2 linked regions of the Astyanax mexicanus genome follow. The protein of the gene in region 1 interacts with the protein of each later gene in a pairwise test. Links are inferred from orthologs where the notes say so. Each region holds a gene or a part of one and is shown on either strand. Other genes may lie near its edges. The genes, in order: fgfr1a and grb14.

Region 1 (7,255 bases):
AATCTAATAACACACTTATTTAACTATTCAAAACATGTATGGGTCAAACTCAGGCAGCTTTACTTAATTTTTACAAGGTTTCTAATCCGAAAATGGTTACAAACTCATGTGACATTTAAAAAGCATGTTTAAATGCAAGTCCACTTATTCCTTTGATTTTCTCTCAAGAAAGTGTTTATTTTAAAGAAATGGTTTACTTCATGTTCAAATAATTGATATTTATGACAAAAAAAATACTCCTGTTAAAGGAACTCATTCCTGTTACTGGAACTCACTCATGTTATTGCTACATCTCTGAAGGGGTTTTTACATTGTTAAATACAACCCGCGAAAACAACAACAACAAAAATTGTATATGTCCCCAGGCTTTGGAAAAATAATTACATTAAGACATTGGGAACAAAATGAATACAATTATTATTTTGTATTGTAAAATATGTAACAACAATCTTGTGTGTTAGCTTCTTTTTAAAAAGAAATATTTTATTTTTACTGCAAGTCAGTGTAAAATTATACTGAACAACAAGATTCACATTATGTAAAAAGTGAAACAAAAAGAGAACATTTTTGCTTAACAAAAAAGCTAGTTCAAACCCGAATGATCATGCCACCAGTTCTTATATTTTTATTATTAAAAGAATAACAATAAAGAGACTATTATTTTAGCTAAGTAATCAAATTAGTTGCTTGTTAAAGTGCTTGTAATTATCTGCTGTTATCAAGATTGTATGTATTTAATAGCACTCATTGTTTCAGCTAGCAAAGTCTGCTATTTCTGTACAAGTTCACAACAAGTTTAATTGCTCTGAATAAATAAACGTGGCTTTTTATCCCGGAAATCAGAATGCTGCTAACTTGACTTTGGGGAAAAGCCCTGTTAGTCACGGCCCAGTAGTAGTTTAGCAGACTGCACGTCTGGACACACCCAAATCCTCCCCAAGGTATTCCTCTGGAAGATCAAAAGTGAGGAAGAAGTGTTTAGTGTGGAAATATGCCTGTGGTTTCCTCAATTACTGGATAAAATTCCATGTCCATTAAAAATGGAAAAGATTCAAAGTTTAGTATTTTTTAAAAGTTGATACATATATAAAGTAAAAAGTACTTGATTTTAGGATATTCTAATAATTTTAACGTCTTATATATGGAATGATGGGCTTCAGAAAAATGGGGACCAGCTTACATTTCATCCAGCATTTGTAAAGCACAAAAGCAATGCCCTACATCCACCTATAGGCACAAACAGACATTAACTAGTAAGTTAAGAAACCTAAGTGGAACCCGGAAAAAATACACGAGTAGACGGCTGCAGACTACCACTGTTTGCATTGATAGGGTTGATGAAAACATGTTTGAAATGACTTATATCCTTGAAGGAGTTTATAAGCTATGTTACCTCACATATTTGGTTATTCAGTTGTAGTGGTAGTTACAGTAGTCAAATTTACAACTTTAATAACTTTTAATAATAATACTTTGATTAGTATTTACAATTAATGCTGTCCCCATCAAATTTCTAACAATGGGAAAAGACTGTAAATCTCATTACTGTATATACAGCTCTGGAAAAAAATAGACCACTTACAAATGATGAGTCCTTTGATTTTACCAAATTGGAAACCTCTGGAATATCAAGAGGAAGACGGATGATCAGCAGCCATCAAACCAAGGTGAACTTGGCTGCCTGCCAGGAATGGCATTAAGTTATCCAAAAGCAGTATGTAAGACTGGTGGAGAAGAACTGTGATTCTGGAGGGAACTTGTGATTAAAAACCAGGGTTATTACACCAAATATTGATTTCTGAACTCTTAAAACTTTTTGAATATGAACTTGTTTTCTTTTGCATTATTTGAGGTCCGAAAGCTCTGCATTATTCTGCAAATAAATGCTCTAAAAGACAATATTTTTTATTTGGAATTTGGGAGAAATTTCATAGTGTATAAAATAAAACAACAATGTTCATTTTACTCAAACATATACCTTTAAATAGCAAAATTAGAGAAACTGATTCAGAAACTGAAGTGCTCTCTTAATTTTTTTTCAGAACTGTATGTGCCCAATCATGTCTCTGTCTCTGAACCTACTACAAAATCTTCCAGCTCCCCGGTTGTTTGGCACAGAAACATATATGGGGTTCAGAACAAGTTTTGAATTATGTACTCTATAAAAATGCAAATGAACTTTTTCTGCACAGTTTAACAAGATCAGATATTTGAGTAAAGTTAAAATGTTAAAAATGTGTCTCTTTGTATTGTTTTACTAGATTTTTGTTTGTTGAATTGGACATTATAATTACAATTACATTTCAATACATTATTTAAACAAAAGAAAATGTTTTATGTATATACAGAGATGAGATTGGAGATTGGAGATTGGATAGTCCAGGTCCAGGGTTCTATTTGTAACATTAGTCTAGCATTCCCCACTCTAAGCTAAGGTAGCGTGTTACTACATGTATAGCACCTGGAATAAATGATAAATCGTATTAATTAGCTTATAAGCGAAACTATTCCTATATTGATAAGAATAAGAAACGTGTCAGTATTATTCCAACTTAGCTCAGATGTATGTTCATAAATCCAGTCTTTTTTGTGTCCATGTTTAGCTTGGTTAGCATATAGAACCAGTGCTAGGCTATTACTATACAATATACAAGTCAACAAGTCTGGGCAACATTAATGAAAATGTGGACATGGTTTGAGTGGTTTGAGTGGCTTTAGAGACGTGCGTGGACATGATTTTAATAGAAAGATTTGGTAACTACTTACTTGCAGTGTTTGTTAGCCAATCATCATTAGCCTGATTGACTAGCCTACATTTTGCACCAAAGCAGAACATAACACTTCACTTCTTTGTCATGTTAACACTTAATTTGCATTTTTATAGAAGTAACTTTACAGGAGTAAAAACTCATTCATTTTAATAAAAGTCAGCATATAAAATCCAGTTATTTTGGACCATTTTTACAATCGTATCATATTGAAATTTAGTCAAAATGTAACAAATATATTTAACATAAAAATATAAGGTAATGAATAAAATTGAAATATAACTTTACTTCATTCAGGTGCTTGTCTAAAGAGCCAGCCACTAAGCATATTGATTTGTAAAGTACCCCAAAGCAATGACATCACACAAAAAAAACACAACAGAAAATGAATATTTTACATTGTTATATTACTCAGCTAATCATTTCAGAAAGGTAAAGGGTTCATGTGTATTATCTTGAACTTTCGTTATGCTAATCATACACTAGACAACTTTGAAAAGACTCTGAAAAGACTTTTGATAGACCGAAGTCTTAAACCTTCTCACATATAAAGACAAGTCACAGACCTTTTAGTCACAGACTAGTCAGAGACTAAGATTTTGCAAAGATTGGGGATCTTGCAGGGTCACTATTTGCAAGACAGGAAGTAGATTTTTTTTTTTATTATTATTATAATTCAGCAAGTTCTTTCCACGTTTTCTTCTTTCTCCACTGTTGTGGTATAAATAGGAAGACACGTCAGAAAGAGACACTCCACATCACTATTTGCATGAACCAAATCTCGAGACTCAAGACTATAATATTAAACACGGTTGATTTTATCTGAACGTTCAATCATAACCACCTTAAACTGAAGGATCAAGATAAGACACACGCAACTCGACTGTAGCAAGACGTTTTTATCCCGACACTGGAAATTTGTTTGCGACAGTGAAATCGCTTGAAAATCACAGCTTTTGAATTTCAGATAACAAAAATAAGATAATTCTTTTTTCAAGAAATGTATAGGTCTGAATGTTTAAATCTAAAAAGCTTAAGTTTTTTGTGAAGCAAGTTTTTTCAGCAGCAAATTTCACCACCTCAAAGTTCTAAATAAATTAGAATATACAAAGATGCGAGGCGAGTTTGTTGTTTGGTGTCGCTTTTTAAAGGAACCTCAAACTCGAACAGACCCGAACAGCAGGCGATAACTTACACAGACAGCACTGAAGGAGGAGGAGGTTTTTATGTAGGATAAACATAAAAGTACATTTCTAGTCTATACATATAAGACATAAAAATAAACAATTAAGAGCTATTTTAGAAGGGCTAATCAGGTTTATTTATCCTTCTTGGGAAAAGAACTACACTCCCACAATGCAACAGAACCAATGGAGAGTCCTGAGGTGTTGTGAATGGCAGAGGGGGGAGCCAGGTTTCAAACCCAGTGATGTAAGCGAGTGTGTGTTGAGTGTGAGTGTGAGTGTGTGTGTGTGTGTGTGTGTGTGTTTGTGTGAGTGAGTGAGTGCGCGCGCGCGCGCTCCATCGTAGGTAGTGAAGCAGCTCCACGCATGACTCCGGAATCTGGTCTTCTCTGTATCCTCTGGTGTGGGAGGCCGAGAGAGCGCGAGCGAGTGAGGGATGCAGAGGATCACGGTAATATCAGCCCGACCAGACCTACAAACTCAGTCTGCGGGGATCAGGCTCGTTTAGGACGGTCTGTAGTTCGAGTCTAGGCGTTTTAGTCGGAGGATTACTGAGCGGAGAAGCGGTAAAAGTTTTTTTTCCTCCCCCCTTCCACTTTTCCTTCGACCAGACCTCCGTCCTAAACAAAAAGAACCCGGGTGGAAATTTTCTTCGCCAGAAAGGCACCGACTCTGCCGGACATTTACGTAAGATTTGTATCTTACCTTTTATATAAAAAAAAAAAAGTCTTACGTGTTTTTGGATTGACGGTAAGATCGTTTTGGAGTGGTTTGCGGTGATCGTGGAAAAGGAGAGCACTTGCAGCCGAGACGCGAGGCGAGTTTGTGTGTGTTGGTGTCGTTTTTAAAGCGCAGGAACCCCAAACTTAAACAGCAAGCGATAACTTACACAGACAGCGCTGGAGGAGAAAGAGGAGATTTTTGTGTAACGTTAGGATCGACTAAAGAAGAAGAAGAATATCAAAAAGAACTTTCTTTATTAACAGCCCGAAAAAGTTTTTTAAATCTCGGAACGAACTTTTTTCCTCTCCGCGTTGAATACAACCCTCACTGGAGCTAAAAGGTGAGTAACATACCACCTAAGTTCACCTAAGATACATTTTCACTGTTTAAATCTGAGTTTGGCTGTTTTTCTAGCTTGTTTTGTTGATGTTTACAGTACTGAAACATGGCATGCCGTGCAAATAACACATCTGGTTGTAGTTACTCAACTAACCTAAATTAGATTAACTAGATGAACGATTTTTTTTTATTCTCACTTCAGCATTTTAGTAGCTTAACTTAGTTAGCTAATGCTTCAAGTGTTCTATCTATCTATCTATCTATCTATCTATCTATCTATCTATCTATCTATCTATCTATCTATCTATCTGCATTGATATGTTCATAATGTGCATTATCTTCCTAGACTATGCAAAGTTAGAATCTTTTAAATATTCTTTTAGTTCATTTACAAAAACGAACCCTTGGTTGCACCTTTTAAGTTAGACTTACCAGGTTAATAATAGTTTGTATCTCACTTCACCATTTTAATATCTTAAATAGGCTAATGCTGCAAGTGCTGTATTGTGGCTAGGTTAGTGTTTTATGTTAAGCACTGGATAGGACTATAATCTAGCTAGCTAGGTAAACGAATATTTTTAAACATTACCTAAATTAGCAAGCTAGTAGCTAGGCTATCCATTTTCTCAATGAGTAGCATCTGTATTTAATGAGTGAACAGGGAGAAAGGTGGCTTTATTTTATTTTTGTATAACCTGCTTGACCTATGTAACTTAGTTAACATCCAGTGCTGCAGATTCTGTCAACTAACTAACTTAGTTAGCTAAAATGTGAGTAACCTAGTTAGCTTTACCAAAGTCCACCTAAGAGAGTTTTTCACGATTTAAATCTGTGTATGGTTGTTTTTCTATCTTTTTTTTGCTTATGTTTACAGTGTTGAAACATGGCATGATGTGCAAATAACAACAAACCGGGGTGTAACGTTAACTTAGTAGGAACTAGTAGGACTATTAGGGTTAGCTAACTAGCTAATCTCTTTTTAGCTAAATATCACGTTAGTTAGCTAGCTAACTAGTTGCTAGTTTACGCTGTTCTTAATGACTAGCATCTGTGTTCAATACGTGAGCAGAGAGAAAGGTTGCCACAAAACAATACTATTAAAATACTAAGAATAGTGAGAAAATACTAAGCCTAAAACTGTTGAAAAGTCAGCGTGTTGCAGGAACAAATGGCTGAAGGCGTTTGGTTAACTAGTTGAGAGAGTTGACGGCGCGCAGCTGGAGCGCAGCACAGTTCAATAGCTGGATAATTCTGCGAATCGGTTCTTTTTTGCGAGTCGTTCACACGAATCGGCTCAGATTTCCTTTTACTTACACGTTTAGGTTTTTAAACATGACACATTATGCAATCAAATAAAGATTAAAAGTTGTTCATTCATGCATTTGCAGCATAAAACGCTTGATTGCACAGAATCAAGTGACTCAGAGTTACTTTCTGAATCATTCTTGGTGACTCAGACGAGTCACTCGTCAAATGGCGCTGCTAATGACACTACATGCGATGCGACTAAGGGATACTATCGAGTTCGAGTTACTAATATTTAATGGAAAAGAAGCAAAAACGAAGAAACTCAGATGTGAATCAGCAAATTGTTTAATTAGTCACTCAAATTATTCAAACGGAGCGGTTTGGATGAGTCGGATCGGTAAACAGACTCGATAGCTAGGTTAAGATAAACTTCTCATCATTAACGTTAGTTCACTAGCTACCATTTGGCACGTTGTTGAGCTTTAGCTAGGTTAGCTGTGCTGTTTTAAAAGGGTTGAATCTAGTGTTTTGTGTCTGAAAAGGGTTTTAGACATCCAGCGCTGTAGATAGTGTAGAGAATATTAAGGTTGAAGATGTTTAACCGTTTTAAGTGTGCACTTTTAAGTGTGCATTTTGCTGTTTGTTAGGAATGTGCAATAGTATACTAATCAGATTGGTAATGTTAGCATAAAGGTAATCAATGAATAGTCTTAGGCTTAGATTTCACTGACATCTGTTTATATTTTAATTTATTTTAACCTGTTATGCTTGGTTAATTTAATAAATGTCTGCATTGTGACTGTCATGCGTGGTACTGTGTTTAAAACGCTACATAAATAAATGAGTTACAGAGATTATGCATATGTTTTAAAAATGTTTAGCTATAAATGTGTCTAAATCAGGCCAAAGTTTCCATATCTATGTGCTTCCAGAAGTCTTGAGTGTAAGCCTTAAGTGTAGCCTTAGCCTTGTTCCTTCATAAACCTTTAACAT
Region 2 (7,345 bases), on another chromosome or scaffold:
TTTATGTAATAAAAACATTAATGTGAAACATGCATGCAAATATGGCATCACATTACCATTCTTATTTAAATAGCAGCTATTGCCACCACCCTGCAAAAAAGTTAACTTTTTGTAAGTAATTTAATTAAATCAAATATCCGTATTTTTCACACTATTAGGCGCACTTAAAATCCTTAAATGTTCCCAAAAATCAACAGTGTGCCTTATAATCCGACACGCTTTAAGTAAGAATCCTACAAGTCATGTATTAAGAAGCAGTAAAGCCACTCTGCGGAAAAGTACAGCATTATAAGCGTTAGCATTAGCTGCTAACCGCAGTGCTAGCTCTTTCGCCATTCAGAAGCGAGTATATTGGACTGTAGTCTGCATTATTGCTGTGTTAAAACAAGCTACGTGGGACAAACTGCTAGATTACTCAAGGTTCCTCAGTCTAGTACTATTGAGCAGCGTTTACATCCCTCTAGTACTGCGATAAGCAGCTAATGCTAATACTGCTTTATACATTCTTAGTGCTGGAGCAACTTAACTTAAAACTCACCCTTAAACAAAATATTGGAAAGCTAATTTTACTGTAAATAAACAGAAGCGCTTTACTCACCCAAATAAACGGTTTTCAGAAGAGAAATCTGTGTAGATTAACATCCAGCGGTTGTTTGACTATTATGTTTAAGTATTACATTTTTGTTTACCCTTGTTCACTTCGATGTAGTCTTTCTACTAGTGTCGCTTAATGTGCCTTATAATCCGGTACAGCTTACGTATGAAAAAGAAAAAATCCGGTGCACATTATAGTTTAAAAAATATGGAAATAAGTTTCTCTGGATAAGACCGTCTGTTAAATTCTATTAAAATAAATGTAATATAAATCTACTCATTCATTGGTTATTCCAAAATCATATGTATTAAAAAGAGAAAAATCCAAAAAAATATTTAATTTTGCACCATCATTGCTTTAAATTGTGCTCTGTAGGGACCAGACAAGTGGTGTGTGCATTTGCACATATATGTCAGCAATGGTTTCAACTTAAATTAGCAGCATTGATTTAGAAAGGGGGTCCACAAATACTTAGTGTATATGTAAACAGTGTATTAAATGTAAAATGTAGCAAACTGTTTTAAACGTGAATGACGCCTAATAATTCTGTATATAATTACAAAGAAAACTGAAACTTTTTTTTTTATTATACTAGCCGCATCTAAAGTATAAGGTCTCTATATTTCTAGGGCTTCTCTCACTTAACACTTTATTTGTTTTGCAGGGATGTGTGATGTCTCCTGTGACGGGTCCTGCTCCAAGTTTGCAAGATGCAGCACAATGTCAGGAGGAATAAAGCCTCTCTTCACATTCTTAGCTTTAGCTTTGATCCCACTGTGCCTTAGTGAGCACTTTTAAGCGTAGTGCCTCTGCATCCTGTTCTTCGGTTTCTCCAGCCATCCCACTCGTTTCCCCTTTTCTGTCTACACCGAGGACACTGCAGCTCAATGTCGGTAAACCAGGGCAGTCATAGTGCTGGAAGGCAGCAACTCATTCTGGGTTCTAATGTTCCTGATCTGGTTTAACTCATCAGGGGTGAATGATCTGTTTATAAGTTGGAACAGGTGGGTTAGAGCACAGAGGAAACTGAACTGTGCACTGCTTCAGCCTTCGAGGACTGGACATACCCATCCAAACTATAAACTCAGAAACTGCTCTCTGGACTGTTTTCTATTTTCTGTCTGAGAATGAGTGCGAATGTAGAGTCAGCTTTTGCTTCTCATGTTTCATTGATTATGAAGACTGACTTTAAAATCAACTCTCTTATTTGGAAATATTTAATGCAGTATATTGTGGTGATATTGGAAAAAAAACAGAACACAAGGCGCACCTGAGGGAAGTAAATCACTGAGGTTTAAACCTCTGTCCTAACTTATTATGCAAGAGACTTGCTTGGTCTGTAATTGTTCGGAGACCTATTGGAATATGTTGTGTTTATTTTATTCTCAAATTTATTATATTAAAATCTTTATGAATTATCAGGTGTCAAAACATGCATATTGATTCTGAACCTTGTTTAAGTTGTTTTATATGATTTATTTTTCATTAATTATGAATATGTTCAGTTTTATGAAAGATCATTTGTTTTATTTGAGTTTGTTTGATGTTTTTCTTTAACTTATTAGGTGTAGGGCATAGAATACTGTTATCAACGAACGTGGAAAGGGTACTTACACCAAAATGGTGTCACCGTTTACCCATGTGCATGTATACTGAACAAATACTTTTGTGCTGGTAAACACAACTAGTACACATGACGACGTAATTGTAAATGACATAAAAGACAGTAAAGTAAGCAGTATGTAATAATGTGCACCTACACATAGATTATAATGCATTACACCTGTGGGTGTTTCATTTGTGTAGCAAATGGATAAGAAAGAAGGTAGCCAAAAAAAACATTGAGTTACATCATTTCAACAAAACTGAAAGACAAAAAGAAAGACACTGGGCTGCTCATGCTTGATTTGAAGACAATACTGCTGTAATATCTGAAATTCTTTCCAGTCTGTGCATTAAAATGTAACATATGAGTCATTCCTGAATGGGCTTGTTCCTTGTGCATCACACACGACAGCTCAGGAGATCTTTGAGACATGCTATTTATATGACATTATGTGCAGCATAGAGGCTTATAGAGCTACCTAGTCATGGACACATGGATTTGCTAACTCTGTACACAAGTACAAAGTAGTAAACAAATGCACTGTTTATAGTGTTAATCATGGTTTTCCAATGCGTTTAAGCTGTAATGTATGTGATGTATGTGCTTTGTTGTTGAAGGATTTTAAGTATTCTTGCAGACCCTGTAGAAAATAATCTGGAAATATATATACTTGTTTTGCAATCAGGGAACACCTGGACTAAAGAAACATTAAAAATTAGAAAACAACCAAAAAATAAAACATTACAATTAATGACAAATGTAACAGACTTTTTACAGACTACAGAATTTACAGACTATTGAACTGAGGTCAGAACATATACACTGAGCAGTGGGCAGCCACCTCAGCACCTAGAGGGCATTAGGGGGTTTCTCTAATTTTAAGACCAGGGATATTAAACCGTATCCCAAAGGGCCAATATGGAGGTTTGAATTCCAGCCAAGCAGAAGCACATAAAATCATTCTATTATTTTATTATATTATATTATTAAGCCCATTTCTTGATCTAGAGGGTGCAATATAATTTATTGCAAAAAGGGGCCTAGCAGTCACCTTTTTCTCCACTAGGAAAGCAGCTCTGAACGGGCTCTGAGTGGTCCAGCATACTAAGATGCTAGTCGATTCGAGGATTGCCAGTTTGAATCCCGGATGATGATGCTTGCCCTTAGCATGAAGTGCTGTAAGATTTAATGGGAAAACACAGTTAACCAACACCAGCAGATGACATGGCTCTCCAAACCATCCACTTTATGTTTGTAAACTTTTATGGAGATGTGGATTTTATTTTCCAGCAGGACTTGGCACACTGCCCGCACTGCCAAAAGCACCAATTGGTCTTATATAATATTCTAATTTTCTGAGACACTGATTCTTGGGTTTTCATTGGCTGTAAGCCATAATCAGCAATTAAAAAAAATAGATCTCTGTCTGTCTATCTATATAATATATGAGTTTCACATTTTGAACTGAACTACTGAAATAGAGTAACTTTTTTAATGATATTCTATTTTTTGAGATGCACTAGTATGGTACACACTGTCCAGCATATGCAAACACTGAGCAGGGGCATTCATATACACGATCTCTCTATAATATAAGAGCAGAAAACTCCACCATCTTCCTCCTTTTTACAGAAAAAGAAAACAAGCCTTTTTCTGTTATAAAATCCTAGTAAAGCCTATTCTATTTGTTAAGAGCTGGATATGATGTGATTTAAAAAGCAAACCGTCATCAATCAAATAAAAACAAACAAACAAAAGTGTTTAAAACTAGATACCATTTCTTGGATTATGGTATCTTGTATTTTTTTTATAGCAAAGCAGTCAGTAAAGATTATTATTAGGGGTTGTATTTGTTGACAACCCTTATGTTGGGAATGTCTTTAGATCTGCAGAAATGTAATGTTCATATTTTATATTATATAATATGTATAATAGGCCTGTGTATGTACAGGAAAATTGGGGTGTCTGGAAAAGTCATGGATTTTTTTCTTAAAAAATAAAAGGAACCCTTATTTACGGACAGGGGAATAATACGGACGTAAACATGACGTACAGCATCGCCTTTCCTCGTGCTGTGGTGAAATTAGCTGCACGCCTGGGCTAATTTGCTCCGTGTGCGCGCAGCTGGGGGTGCACGTGGTTTCCTTCAGGACGCTTAGGAGGACTTTAGGGAGTTTAGGACTTTGGCGCAGTACAATGGTCTTTAGGTGAGACGCTTAAAAGCATGGAAACGGTGATTTGAAGCCCGTATACAAGCTGTCTCCGCTCAAAGCCCAGTCACAACACCGTGACGTCGCGCGCTGCATGAGTAATAAGTGGCGCCCCTTAACCCAGTGAGCGCGCGGGGCCGGACAGCCATGGGAGCAGTGCGCGCGCGGTACAGCTCCGGACAGCAGCGGGTACAGTGAGCGCACCAGCCCACAGCGGTCTACACCCGTAAGTTACATACAGCACGCGAGCGGCGGTTCCTGTGTGTGTTTGTGTGTGTGTGTGTGTGTGTGTGTGTGTGTGTGTGTGTGTGTGTGTGTGTGTGTGTGTGTGTGTTATCATTGCTTTTACATTTCGCTTACTGTATCTTTATGCAGTGGAAGGAACCGTAGTCTGTATTTGCGAGTACTGCACTGTATCTGAGCTCAAACACTGAGGCAGCACCGTTTATATAAGAAAGGCTGAAAAGGCTCAGTCCCAGTCTGTGTCAGTGAGATCCTGCGTGTGTTAAGAGTGTTGCACTGATGGGGGATCAGTGGTAAGCAGGTAGGCTGATTCTCAGGTAGAGCAGGATTTTAGCTGTTACTGCTCTCGGGTTCGTGTGTTTGATCTGAAAGGTGTAGTTAGTTTTTGAAGTGTGATTTTTGGGCTTAAAGAACTTTTTACGCACCACCGCTGAGTTTGGTATTTTTCCCAAGAAGACTAACAGCAGCTTCTCGGAGAAATTTTACATGCCCATCGCCTGGGGGTTTGCCTGGAGCTACATTTGGCTCCAAATCTTAGTGCCACCTGTTGGTAGGCTAAGGAAGCCTAATGTAACTATGTATTTTACATGAATAGCTGATAGACAGACATGCACTACCAGTCAAACGCTTTAGAACTCACACACACACACATACAGCTCTGGAAAAAAAGAGACCACTTAAAAATTATGAGTTTCTTTGTTTTTTTTCCACTTAAATGATTGATGGTAATTGATGATCACAAGCAGTGAAAACAAGCTAAACTGCTTGATTTTTTGCACCAGGACTGGCATAAAGTTATCCAGAAGCAAACATTCATTTCTGAATTCTTGAAACTTTACGAATATGAACTTGTTTTCTTTGCATTATTTGAGGTCTGAAGGCTCTGCATCTTTATTGTTAATTTAGCCATCACATATCTATGGAAGTCCATTTCCACAAATAAAAGAAAAAATAGGGGTGTTCTAAAACTTATGTTTAGTTAAGTTCACTGTAGTAAAGATTAGGCTCTACACTTGGAATACTCAATGTTTAAATCCAATTAACATCTAATACAATATTGTGGCCATAAGGATTGGTTATAATATTGTGGCTGGGGTGGGTGAAGAATGGAAGAGTGTAAAATACTACTAAAGTCATGCATTTTTAAATGAACATTAATGAATTAATATTAAGTCATTTACTATTTCATGGAATCTGTGGGTACAGGCATGCCTTTTTACAGACATTTACAGTAAGTTTTGTAATTCCTGTATTTTCTAACAAAACAATAATTAATCTATTCATAAATTGTCCTAATAGTCTACATGGTCAAACAATTATCAGTAACTGGTAGGACTTCTAGAAGGTCTGATGGAGTTGATGATTATTGACCATAAATTATTTGAGTGGTTGATGTGACTCGTTAATGCATAGTGTTAGGAGACTAGCAAAGCTTTAGAAACTAGCATAATTCTGCTGAATAAAATATGATACAGAAATGATACTAAAATCATTCTGTTTTTTAAATTACTGATGGAAACTAAAGTTTATGTTTAGATTAAGCTCTTTGCTATGTTTCCCTGTGTAACTCTGTATATGAAGCAGTGAAACTCTTCAGCGTTGTGTGCATGTGCTTGTTCAGCAAGTTCTCCCCAGGCCTACTATGCGTCACAGATCTCACCCTTTTGTCTTACTGGCTCCTGACCACTTTCTTCAGACATGCAAATTGTCTGTTTCTAGCATGATTTCATGTTAAGGGAACATTGCACTTACAGGATGAATGTAGAGACTGCAGTGCTAGGCGGCAGTGGGCCGCGTGCGTAGTTGGGAGCTTTGGGCTATAATTACCTGCTTCTCTGTGACTTTTTTTTATATTACCTGTTCGTACACTGAAATGAAAAGGCACGTGAGGGTTACTCCTCAACCGGTTCCCTGCACAACATTTACCAAGAACTGGCTCTGCAAACTGTCATTTTTTTCTAAGAACACTTTTCCACTAGTTGTGCCCAATGTGCACTTGGCCTTTACATTTCAGTCTCTGTGTTGTGTTTTTTTTTTTTTGTCAACTTTGTTAAAATATTTTCATTTCAGATTTTTAGGAAGGTAAAGTGCTGTGAGGCAATTAATCAAATTAATTACATCCACTGTTATTTAATATTCTAAATTAATCACATTCATAATCAAAATATTTAAAACTTTACAATTAAATTCACTTTTACCTGAGGAGCAGATGAATGAATGAATAACGGGCTTAAACTTAAAAGCTCCTTGTAATGAAAATCAATTGGTAACTGTCAGTAGTGCTGTAAATACTGTATCGCATAGAACTATATTTTGACATCAGAACACAGGAATGCAGCTAACAGCTCAATGCTAACCTAGCTAACAGCTGAACTTAGCAGTAAGGTTTGGAGGGTGTTAGCCTGGATGCTAAAATTCTGAGATAAATTAATCGCTGATTTATGTTCCTGTGTTGATTAGATATGGTGAGTTCTGCTGTTTGGTATGATATGTGTATGGTGGAACGCCAGCACCAGGCTACAGTGCCGGTTACTGCCGGTCATTTAATTAATTAATTTATTTTTTAGATTGTCTAATTCTGTGTATTTCCGTGTGTATTCTGTATTTATGGCTGAATTCCTCAATTCCTCTATTTGTTCATAGAACAAAGGTGAAGGTGCCATTCTTAAAAAAAAAATCTAAAAGGGTCCC

The links.
Region 2: the proteins of fgfr1a (region 1) and grb14 interact in a two-hybrid assay, tested with the Homo sapiens proteins (2 studies listed by BioGRID, with this or other methods). The link is inferred for Astyanax mexicanus from reciprocal best matches to the Homo sapiens genes FGFR1 and GRB14.

What each region holds. Positions count from the first base shown.
Region 1 is NC_064419.1:25,850,028-25,857,282, forward strand, and holds the start of fgfr1a (fibroblast growth factor receptor 1-A), read left to right. Parts: upstream 1-4,251; 5' UTR 4,252-5,015; intron 5,016-7,255. UniProt on the Homo sapiens protein: Tyrosine-protein kinase that acts as a cell-surface receptor for fibroblast growth factors and plays an essential role in the regulation of embryonic development, cell proliferation, differentiation and migration.
Region 2 is NC_064418.1:34,769,679-34,777,023, reverse strand, and holds the start of grb14 (growth factor receptor-bound protein 14), read left to right. Parts: upstream 1-4,298; 5' UTR 4,299-4,637; intron 4,638-7,345. Other genes in the region: cobll1b (cordon-bleu protein-like 1b), read left to right, coding at 1,260-1,331. UniProt on the Homo sapiens protein: Adapter protein which modulates coupling of cell surface receptor kinases with specific signaling pathways. Binds to, and suppresses signals from, the activated insulin receptor (INSR). Potent inhibitor of insulin-stimulated MAPK3 phosphorylation.